3 linked regions of the Macaca fascicularis genome follow. The protein of the gene in region 1 interacts with the protein of each later gene in a biochemical or structural test. Links are inferred from orthologs where the notes say so. Each region holds a gene or a part of one and is shown in the gene's direction. Other genes may lie near its edges.

What was found.
Region 2: of the proteins of SRPK2 (region 1) and LUC7L, one has a biochemical effect on the other in vitro, tested with the Homo sapiens proteins (2 studies listed by BioGRID and IntAct). The link is inferred for Macaca fascicularis from reciprocal best matches to the Homo sapiens genes SRPK2 and LUC7L.
Region 3: of the proteins of SRPK2 (region 1) and HNRNPC, one has a biochemical effect on the other in vitro, tested with the Homo sapiens proteins (2 studies listed by BioGRID and IntAct). The link is inferred for Macaca fascicularis from reciprocal best matches to the Homo sapiens genes SRPK2 and HNRNPC.

What each region holds. Positions count from the first base shown.
Region 1 is NC_088377.1:146,652,097-146,655,748, reverse strand, and holds part of SRPK2 (SRSF protein kinase 2), read left to right. Parts: intron 1-283; coding exon 284-766; intron 767-3,652. UniProt on the Homo sapiens protein: Serine/arginine-rich protein-specific kinase which specifically phosphorylates its substrates at serine residues located in regions rich in arginine/serine dipeptides, known as RS domains and is involved in the phosphorylation of SR splicing factors and the regulation of splicing.
Region 2 is NC_088394.1:970,043-973,794, reverse strand, and holds the start of LUC7L (putative RNA-binding protein Luc7-like 1), read left to right. Parts: upstream 1-857; 5' UTR 858-968; coding exon 969-1,029; intron 1,030-1,905; exon of another isoform or gene 1,906-1,975; intron 1,976-2,963; coding exon 2,964-3,058; intron 3,059-3,752. UniProt on the Homo sapiens protein: May bind to RNA via its Arg/Ser-rich domain.
Region 3 is NC_088381.1:88,893,732-88,897,383, reverse strand, and holds part of HNRNPC (heterogeneous nuclear ribonucleoproteins C1/C2), read left to right. Parts: intron 1-1,812; coding exon 1,813-1,927; intron 1,928-2,519; coding exon 2,520-2,567; intron 2,568-3,652. UniProt on the Homo sapiens protein: Binds pre-mRNA and nucleates the assembly of 40S hnRNP particles. Interacts with poly-U tracts in the 3'-UTR or 5'-UTR of mRNA and modulates the stability and the level of translation of bound mRNA molecules. Single HNRNPC tetramers bind 230-240 nucleotides.

The sequences.
Region 1 (3,652 bases):
TCTGAAGATTGTAGAAGGTAGAAATGGAAGTGCAACTTTATTTAGAAAGAGTTATTTTCCCTTAAGGGTAACTTTTTCTTATAAGAGCAGGCCAATTATTAAATGAATGAAAAATGAGATTTAGAAAACCTGAAGCTTTTACCCCAAAAGCAAAGAGGTGTTTACTAGGTGGTACATAAGTTAAACACATTCAAAACGTGTTTTATTGATGGAGATAAGTACTTAGTGAGGCCGTATTAAGGACAGTAACAAGTTCTTATTCTTGACCCATCAACTTCTTAAGGTGAAGCTGAGGACCAGGAAGAGAAAGAAGATGCTGAGAAAGAAAACATTGAAAAAGATGAAGATGATGTAGATCAGGAACTTGCGAACATAGACCCTACGTGGATAGAATCACCTAAAACCAATGGCCATATTGAGAATGGCCCATTCTCACTGGAGCAGCAACTGGACGATGAAGAGGATGACGAAGAAGACTGCCCAAATCCTGAGGAATATAATCTTGATGAGCCAAATGCAGAAAGTGATTACACATATAGCAGCTCCTATGAACAATTCAATGGTGAATTGCCAAATGGACGACATAAAATTCCCGAGTCACAGTTCCCAGAGTTTTCCACCTCGTTGTTCTCTGGATCCTTAGAACCTGTGGCCTGCGGCTCTGTGCTTTCTGAGGGATCACCACTTACTGAGCAAGAGGAGAGCAGTCCATCCCATGACAGAAGCAGGACGGTTTCAGCCTCCAGTACTGGGGATTTGCCAAAAGGTAAGTGTTCTTCCCATCAACTGTCTGCCATTACTGACTCCAGGGACGTGCCGTTAACAAATGCTATGAAGGAACTGGCTGGAAGTGGCCAAGCCCTGTTTGTGTGTGCTAATCATTTTTATTACTTTTATACTCATGAAGAAGTAATGTGATTTAAATACATGTTCTATGCCACTAGACTATCTCTTGCTCTCTGCATACCAAATCTTATTTCTGATCAGTTCTCATTTTTAATATATTTATAGTCAGCAGCATCATTTGCAAAAACTGGAAGGTTTTTGTAAAAAGGTTTTTGTAAAAAGATGTAAAACTACATCTTTCTAGAATGTGTAGTTTAGTTTATCATTTGTATCTTCTTCTATCTGATATTATTATAGTTTTTTTTGTTTTGTTTTGTTTCTATTCAAGAAAAGTATACCTCCTCTTTGACTCTATTGAGAAAGAAGTGTCATATTGTCTTTTGATATTTGTTCCTGATTATAGGACCCTACTATTGATAACGGGCCCAGGATTGTAATTTTCAAGGAATTGGCATGGATTTAGATGTGATGACAGATTATAGGTTGGCTCTTGTGTTCTTGTCTACCTAAGAAGGCTTGACTTATTCAAACCTTTATTTTGGGAGTCAATGCTGAGTGACTCTAGTAAGTGAAACTGGGTAACACAGTTGGTTTCCATTCTGACTCATGGTGGAAAAGCTCTGAAACCTCCTCTGCTCCCTCTGCTGACAAGACTGTTTAACACACAGTGAGTAATTGATGAGCCAGCCGTGCAAACCACCCAAGACATTATACAGCCCCTTTGGTTCCAGAGTCTGGAATTGCACGCTAAGTGAGCTGGCTTTGTTACACGCTGGCTATGATGAATCCTCCTAAGGATTTGCTTTCTTTACTTGGCTGGACGTGGTCAGCTCCTGTTCCCCTGTATAGGGAGTGTTTGAAGGTGCTTACATAGAATGTAGGTTCATGTCTGGGAAAGGGCAGTAGCGAGATGTACCTTATCCAGATTTATTGTTGCTGTTGCAGTTCAATTTTTCTCTTGAGGTTTCTTTTTTCTTTTTGAGATTGAGTCTTGCTCTGTTGCCCAGGTTTGAGTGCAGTGGCGTGATCTCAGCTCACTGCAACCTCTGCCTCCCGGATTCAAGCGATTCTGCCGCCCCAGCCTCCTGAGTAGCTGGGATTACAAGCATGTGCCACCACGCCTGGCTAATTATTGTATTTTCAGCAGAGACGGGTTTTCACCATGTTGGTCAGGCTGATCTCAAACTCCTGACCTCGTGAGCCACCGCGCCCGGCCGAAGTTTCATATAGAAAGTAATTTACAAAGTATCTTTTTAATTATTTCTATTTTATTTATTTATTTATTTATTTATTTATTTATTTATTTTGAGACAGTCTCAGTCTAGTTGCCCAGGCTGGAGTGCAGTGGTGCAATCTCAGCTCACTGCAACCTTTGCCTCCTGGACTCAAGCAATTCTCCTGCCTCAGTCTCCCGAATAGCTGGGATTACAGGCGCCTGTCACCATGCCTGGCTAATTTTTATATTTTTAGTAGAGACGGAGCTTCACCATGTTGGCTAGGCTGGTCTCCAATGCCTGACCTCAGGTGATCCGCCCTCCCCAGCCTCCCAAAGTGCTGGGATTACAGGTGTGAGCCACCATGACCAGACCAAAGTACCTTTTTTATTTGTACTTAGTTTGCAAGTATTAGCTTAGGCTGCAGTGGCTTCAGTTACAGCCAACCCTCCGTATCCATGGGTTTTACATCTGTGGATTTCACATCCATGTGCTCAGCCAGCCTCAGATGGAAAACAGTTGGAGGGGAAAAAAAAAAACCTGTGTCTTTATTGAACATGTACAGACTTTTCCCCCTTGTCATTATTCCCTAAACAATACAGTATAACAACTATTTACATACCATTTACATTGTAGCAGGTATTATAAATAACTAGAGATCAACTAAAGTATATAGGAAGATGTATGTAGGTTGCATGCAAGCACTATACCATTTTATATCAGCGACTTGAGCATCTGTGGATTTCGGTGTCCTCAGGATGTCCTGGAACCAGTTCCCCGCAGACACCGAGAGGCACCCACGTATCATCAGATTAATCCCCAGCTCAGAACTTAATAACTGTGGAACTTTGGTTTCTTATCCTGTCTGAGCCTTGGCTTATTCCTCTATCAAAGGAAAGAAATGGCTACCTCTAGGGTTGTTAGTAGCACTGAGTTAAATACAACAGGTCAATGGCAAAGGTAGATAAATAACATACAATAATATATTGAAAAATTTCCCATTGAATGTAAGTTGCCTTGGTCATCACAATCCATGTAAAGGAGCACAATTGCTGCTTGTTACCACGTGGTCACCATCGAGGCCCAGGCAAGTCATAAAACTTACCCTGTTGTTTACATGACAGCTCCATCTCTGTCACAGGAAACTTCAAACCTTACATGTTAAAAACCAGAATACAACTCACCCTGCCAACCTGCTACACATGCTGTATTTCCTGCGCTTGTTACCACCATTTCTTGTTGCGTCAGTGAGAAACTTGATCATCAGTATGTCCCCCTTTTTTCTCTCACATCCAGTAAATCATCTCGTTTTGCTAGTCATACCTCATAAGTAGGGGTCCTGCTTGCCTTGGCCCTACAGTGGGCACTGTCATTGCTTGCCTCTGCTGTTACGGAGGCTCCTTACTGGTCTCTTGGCTTTGTGTTCTCTCCAGCTTTTCTCCCCACCTGCCTTTCAGCATGCCCTTCCATGGTGCTGCTAGAGTGTCTTTGCAGTATGCTTACCCGATCAGTGTATTCCCCTGCTCACAGTTTCCACAGGTCCCCATCATCTACAGCAGTGGTCTCCACAGTGGAGAGTGTACATCCCTGCA
Region 2 (3,752 bases), on another chromosome or scaffold:
ATTGCTTGAACGCGGGAGGCAGAGCCGAGATCAGGCCATTGCACTCCAGCCTGGGTAACAAGAGCGAAACTTCATCTCAAAAATAAATAAATAAATAAATAAAATATAATAAAAAATAAGAAAAGTTTTAATAGAAGTCTATGCCAGACTATGCACACATAAGTGCATGCTATAATTCTATTATCACATAAAGTAATTGCTGAGACATACCTGTTTTTAGCCCCTGGGACGGTAGACCATGAGCTCACAGAAGGACGACCACGAGGTTTTAATCATAGAACCTAATATTAATGCCATAACTGATGGCCAAACATGGTGGTTCACACCTATAATCCCAATACTTTGCCGGGCTGAGGAGGGAGGATAAGGAGCCTGGGAGGTCGAGGTTGCAGTGAGCGGTAATCGCGCCACTGCACTCCAGCCTGGGCAACAAAGCAAGACCCTCGCTCAAAAATAAATAAATAAATGAAAATAAGTAAAATTCCATGCTTTATTTAACTTTCACAAAAATCATATGAGGGACACCTTTAGAATCCTCATTTCACAGATTTAAAAAAAATGAGCGTCGGGGAGTTAATATGCTCACGGTTTCATGGCTAGCTTAGAAAAAGCACGGATTTATCTTGTTTTTGATAGACTGTATTTGACATTATTGTAGTTTACCCTCCGTAGAGACTCATTTGAGGTCCTGGGGGTCTAGAGTAAAATCAGCGTTGGGATTTTGGTTCCTTCCTTGGACAACTTCCGTAGACCACTCAGAACCTCAGTCTCCCCCAAGCACCCACCCTAGAAACTACATTTCCCAGCAGGCTGTGCGCCGGCGCCTTCGTACTTCCTCCCGGCGTCCCCCGCGGCGGGAAAGAGCCGAGTGGGCTCGAGGCCGACGCGACCATCATTTGTCGACGCCGCTGCCGCTGCTTTCCTGAGAGAAGCCGTCGCGGCCGTCCCCACCGCCTCCGCCGGCTACCATGTCCGCCCAGGCGCAGATGCGGGCCCTGCTGGACCAGCTCATGGGCACGGCTCGGGACGGTGAGTCACAGCGGCCAACCAGGCGAGGGTCTGGGGTGGGAGTGAGGCGAGGCCGCCGGGCGGCCTGAGGCGGGGGCCGCGATCGTCTGCGCCTGCGCTTGCGCGGGGCACCCCTCCTCCTCCGCCGCGCGCCGACCGCAGGCGCCGGGCCTTTGTCTAAGCCGGTTGGTCTCTGAGGCGGCCGTGGGTCCAGGTCCGGCTCCTCTTTCGGAGTCTGCGCCACGGATGGGGCTTCAGCCTCCTTCCCGTTTACCGTCCCGCTACTTCCTCCCCGACGGGCGCCGCGGCTCCGTGCCCCTCCGCGAACTGTGGAGTCGGCGAGGGGCTGGAATCAGCGTGGGCTCCAGGTCGCTGGCAGCCGGGTGGCAGAACTCCTCCGAGGCTCCTTGGGAAGAAGCTACACCCGAGGGAGCCGGATGGGCCTCGAAACCCTGACCCGTTCTGGTTCTGTACCATTGCAAGGGGAGCCGTAAACTGAGCCTTTCTAACGTGGGTTTCTGCCGAGTACTTTTCCAGCTCCCTCCTTCCCCCAGCACACAGGAGAGCCTCTGTGTAGCCAGCGCTTGGCAGTGGTTAGGTAGGTTGTACTGTGTAGGGAGGAGCTCAAGATCATGATGGTTGTCACAGGAGAAAGCGGTTGCATCTTCGCAAAACTATATACCTGCTGTGGTTTGTGTTTTCTTTTCTGCTGAAGTAATGAAGTTGTAAGTTCACACTGGCACATTCTCAGGGCTGTGCAGATTATTTGCACTTTATTTCATAGGTGAATAAGTGCTTTTTAGCTTTCTTTGTATATTGAGTTGCTTTTGAATTGCTTCCCATATTTTTATTTCATACAAACTGAACAATTGTGGCCCCTCTATTTTATTTATAAAGGTTCAGTGTATCTTTGCCTGCCTACATCAATCTGCAAGGGAGTTGCAGAAAGCCTCATGTTCATCGAGCCGTGAGTCACAACCAATTTCTAAGCTGTTATAACAAAAAAGTGTTTGCTTTTTTTCACAAGTAACTTTAAAAGTGTAGTTTAGAAAGAAAACATTTTCAATAAAAAGACACTACATTAATCCTGGATGCTTGCAAATCCTAAAATATATTCCTCCTCTAGCGTTGCACAGCTCTGTGTTGTATACACAGACTAGCTTTAGAATTTGTCACATACCACTTTGCCTTTACTTTTATGTATCATTCCCCCGACTTCCTTACTGCAGGTGTGGGCAAGAAAACTTTTCCTTTAACACTTTTCAACAGCGGGCATAAAATTCTGCAGCTGAGGTCTTGAAGAATGCAGATGGGTACAGTATGTGTTGGAGCTCACAGTGTGTATTGACTAACCTAGTTCCTTTTTGCTTTTTTTGGTATTGTCTTGTTAAAAGTGACTCCCAGGTAGCAACTCTCTTTTTTAAGGGTGGGGACGAAAGGGGCATAGGAAGAATAGATCTAGATTATTTAACAGTCTTCAATAGCGTTTGAAAGCTTTCTTCTTCATTCAATTTTGGGCAAAATACTGCCTCTGCATTTGTTCATAACTAAAAGATTAATAAGTAGCTTTTGTTGGTGGAAATTACCAGCTCTATAAGTCGCCCTTGGTGGTTCATGGACCTCTGATTAGCTTGGGTTTTGGAATCTCATTGCCACATGTATATGTGGAGCCAATGGCCTTTTGGTGCTCAGCTGCTTACATCTGACTCCTTGACTACTTTGGTACACTGATGGAGTCAGATCTCATTAAGTGTGATTCTTCATGATATAACTGGCCTCAAAAAAATGTGTATTCCACTCCAGTGTAAATATCTTTAGATCAGCTTTTCATTGTATTTGATGGGGAGAACACAGAAATGATAGACTGCAAATGATCCAGGTGAATCATTACACTAGTGTTTTCTTGTGGTTAACGTGATAATATTGTCTTATTTAAAACCACAAATGAATTTCAGGAGACGAAACCAGACAGAGGGTCAAGTTTACAGATGACCGTGTCTGCAAGAGTCACCTTCTGGACTGCTGCCCACATGACATCCTCGCCGGGACGGTAGGTGCATTTTGGGGGACCTCATGGAACACTCTGACATGAGTGCTGGGTAGGCAGTGATGGTTTTTCTGTGTTGAATTTTGTTTTAAGTCTTTTTCTCTAAGTGGCTGAATTACAGCAGGTAATCCTCCACTTGTATGTATGCATGCATGCGTGCGATGGAGTCTTACTCTGTATTGCCCAGGCTGAAGTGCAGTGGTGTAGTCACAGCTCACTGCAGCCTCGAACTCCTGGGCTCCAGTGATCCTCCCGCCTCAGCCTCTTGAGCTTCTGGGACTACAGGCATGAGCCACTGCTCCTTGCTCAGTCCTCCACTTTTTAACAGGCAGAAATCCCTGATGCCGTTTAAATGATAGATTCTATTCATTTGGTAGGATTTTATATTATGGTACAAATTTCACTGTTGTAAAATTCTGTCTGTAAGATTACCAGATTTTTTTGTAAAGTCATTTATACTGCGATATTCACAACTAAATAGGGCAAGTATTCTAATTTGGCTGTAGCAAAAAATACGCTTTAGGTCAGCCTGAAGTTCTTTGAAGATTCTGCGTGGGTTGGTTTGTTTGACCTCAAGTTGAATGTGTGGAAGACTTTTGATCTACAAAGGTACATTTTCTTCCCCAGATTATTTGGTTTTTAAAAAATCAGTTGAGGATACGTTGATTTTGTAGTTTTGTGTTGTGCCACCCTTTCA
Region 3 (3,652 bases), on another chromosome or scaffold:
TAGTTGCGCTGGTCATGAGGTCAGGAGATGGAGACCATCCTGGCTAACACCGGGAAAAGCCGTCTCTACTAAGAATACAAAAAATTAGCAGGCCGTGGTGGCGGGCGCCGGTAATCCAAGCCGTTGAGGCAGGAGAATTGTTTGAACCCGGGAGGCGTAGGTTACAGTGAGCCGTGATTGCACTCCAGCATGGGCAACAGGGCAAGACTCCGTCTAAAAATATATATATATATGGAATTTGTATATTTTGGGGCATGTGTGTATTAAAATGAGACTAATTTTAAAGCAGTATATATGAAAATGGAGGTATTGTTGACTGAGTGCTTTAGCACGACTGGGAAGTTAAAAAACTGAATTGGCTTTCTGACATGGGGTTTTTAGAACAAGGAGAAGATGAATTCTTGTTTGGAAGGTCATGGGTGGCAGGGTAGGTAGCTGGGCTTATGTGTTACAAATTGTATTTGAAAACTAGGGTTGTTTCCCTTTGCTCTTTTATTTTTTTGATATATGTAAAGGTTATTTAAGCAACTTATGAATTATTCAGAAAGCAGTTGTTAACCCCGGATGTTTTACATGCAGTACAGCTAATCCTTACTTATAAGGGAAATCTGAAGTTGCCTTTGAGGATGATTTGAGGGTGTCACACTGCACTATATTGTTTTGTGGATTGGCGTATATTTTAATATATTTGTAATAATTCGGAATGAACTGAACCATTCTTGGAAAGGTAACCATTGATAGTTTTCTCTTGTAATAGTAACTGAGTGAACAGTCAGTGCCTTGAATGGGGAGAGTTGAGTTAAAGTGGGATCTGAGGGTGGAGAGTACCAAAGACAGACTTAATGTTATGTCTCAGGAACACTTTAGTGGTACAGAACAGAGTGCAAATACATAGAAGATGAAGTCTTAGCCTTGTAAAAATTTATGAGCCTTTTTAATATTAAAAGGAGAGATGAAGCTCAGCATGGTAGCTCACACCTGTAATTCCAGCACTTTGGGAGGTCAAGGCAGATCACTTGACCCCAAGAGTTCGTCCCTATGAAAAACAGAAAAATTGGCCGGGCGCGGTGGCTCAAGCCTGTAATCCCAGCACTTTGGGAGGCTGAGATGGGCGGATCACAAGGTCAGGAGATCGAGACCATCCTGGCTAACCCGTTGAAACCCCGTCTCTACTAAAAAATACAAAAAACTAGCCGGGCGAGGTGGCGGTCGCCTGTAGTCCCAGCTACTCAGGAGGCTGAGGCAGGAGAATGGCGTGAACCTGAAAGGCGGAGCTTGCAGTGAGCTGAGATCCGGCTACTGCACTCCAGTTTGGGCGACAGAGCGAGACTCCATCTCAAAAAAAAAAAAAAAAAGAAAAAGAAAAACAGAAAAATTAGCCAGCGTTGGTGGTGCCTGCTACTTGGATGGGAGGATCACCCAAGCTTTGGAGGTCTAGGCTGTATTGAGCCATTATTGCATCACTGCACTCCAGCTTGTATGACAGTGAGACCCTCTCTTAAATAAAATAAAAAAAAATAGGAAAGATGAGTTGTTTTGTTTCATATTTTCTAATTTTTATGTCTGTGATTTTCTAAACTTTGTATTAGCTGGGCATGGTGGTGCCCGCTTGTAGTCATAGTTACTCTTGAGGCTGAGGCAGGAGAATCCCTTGAACCGGGCAGTGGAGGTTTCCGTGAGCCTAGATGGCACCATTGCACTCCAGCCTGGGCGACAAAGCGAAACTATGTCTCAAAAATAAAAAAATTAACTTTGTAGTTTGTTTTACCTGGATACAAAGTTGTCACTAAAATTTTTGCTTTTGTTTTTCAGATATTAACCTGGCTGCAGAGCCAAAAGTGAACCGAGGAAAAGCAGGTGTGAAACGATCTGCAGCGGAGATGTACGGGTCAGTAACAGAACACCCTTCTCCGTCCCCTCTACTCAGGTCCGGAAACTTTATTATTTATAACTGCATTGTGTCCATCAGTGGGCATCTTCTCTATCTGTTTTCTGGATGTGGGGAGGGTTAAGTGTACTGTGTTTTATCTGTGTATAAATAAGGTTTCATTATTTTTGTGTTAATATGTCTCTCTTTTGCCCTAGCGAAAATTACTAGAGAATTAAAAATCCCTGAGGTTTTTGCTATTGATGTTTAGGAGTAGTTTGATATTTATAGCATAGCCTGAAATACTTCTACAGGATCGTTGAGCTTCTAAGACACCAGAGAGTAAGAGAGGGAAGAAGTGTGGTATAAGAATGTTTAGTTTACCATTCTGTTTTTCAGTGTTCAGTTTAACTATGTCGTATGTGGAAATCTTAGTGAATTTTAACCTGAATTACCAATTTGACCACTACATTTCCAGTGGTCTAAGGTGATTGGAATTGAGTGATTTATTGTATGAATGATTGGGGATCATTCAGTGCTAATCTTGTTGATCTATCTGTTGTGGTTTATTTGGCATGGTTCTCCCCTCACCTGATGTTGTGAATTAGTAGCAGCGTTTCCAAATTAACCCTTTTCGGTATTTATTTTTCAGCTCCTCTTTTGACTTGGACTATGACTTTCAACGGGACTATTATGATAGGTATGTTAAAAGTGTTTTGCCTTTCTGCTAAACAGCTATTAATGAGAACCATTTTGTTTTTCTAGTTTGTGGTGATGAACATCAAAGATGTTTCCAAACATACTCCCTTTCCTCCAAAAGAAAAAAATAACCTTAAGTAGATTATTAGGTAGGGTGATAATGATTTTAATGCATTATTTCATAATGCCTGTTTCTACTAAAAATACAAAAGAATTCGCTGAGTGTGGTGACTAGGGACTGGGTTATGGGTGGCTTTGGGTAATAGATTTAGAACTGATGATAGCAAATACTAAACAAGAAATAGAATGATGTGCTTAAGAGTGTTACCACATTGACAATCTGATATCAGTCTCAGTTAACATGAAGTAAATGTTAGACTTATTTGGCTTGTCGTGTTTAAACTCATGCAGTATATGTAAGTATATGGAGCAAACTATTATATGCAATACACTTTAAAAATGCAATATATAAAGCGCATTACTTTATATGAAGCATAGTACTACTATTTGTCTTAGAATACCAGTATTCTAATCATTAGTATTTTAATGTTATTGCTGTATATAACAATTCTGTCTCTGATTTTGGAGTAAAAATTACTGATTGACAAATGCTTAACGTTTGAACTGAGTTAATCAGTCATCCATGGGAGTTGTGTAGAGGAATCAAGTCAGCTGTTAAATACCATAGAGTATACACTGAAAATGTCAGACATGAAAGTATACACTTTCTGTTTGAGAAATAACGTCATAGAATATGGCAGGTAGTCATTAAAAGGCCAGAAGAGTAAGGCCTGAAAAAGAATTTAAATCCAGATTGTAAAGGGCCTTGAATGCCCTATTAAGATGGTGCGGTTGAGCATACTTAATGCATCATCAAAATGTTTTTTTTTTTTATTTGACATTAGCGGTTTCCTCAGATTGTTGTTGTTGTTTTTTTTTTTTAAGATGGACTCTTGCTCTTGTCACCCAGGCTGGAGTGAAGTGGCGTGATTTTGGCTTACTGCAACGTCCGCCTCCTCGGTTCAAGCTATTCGCCTGCCTCAGCCTCCCAAGTAGCTGGGATTACAGGCATGCACCACCACTCCC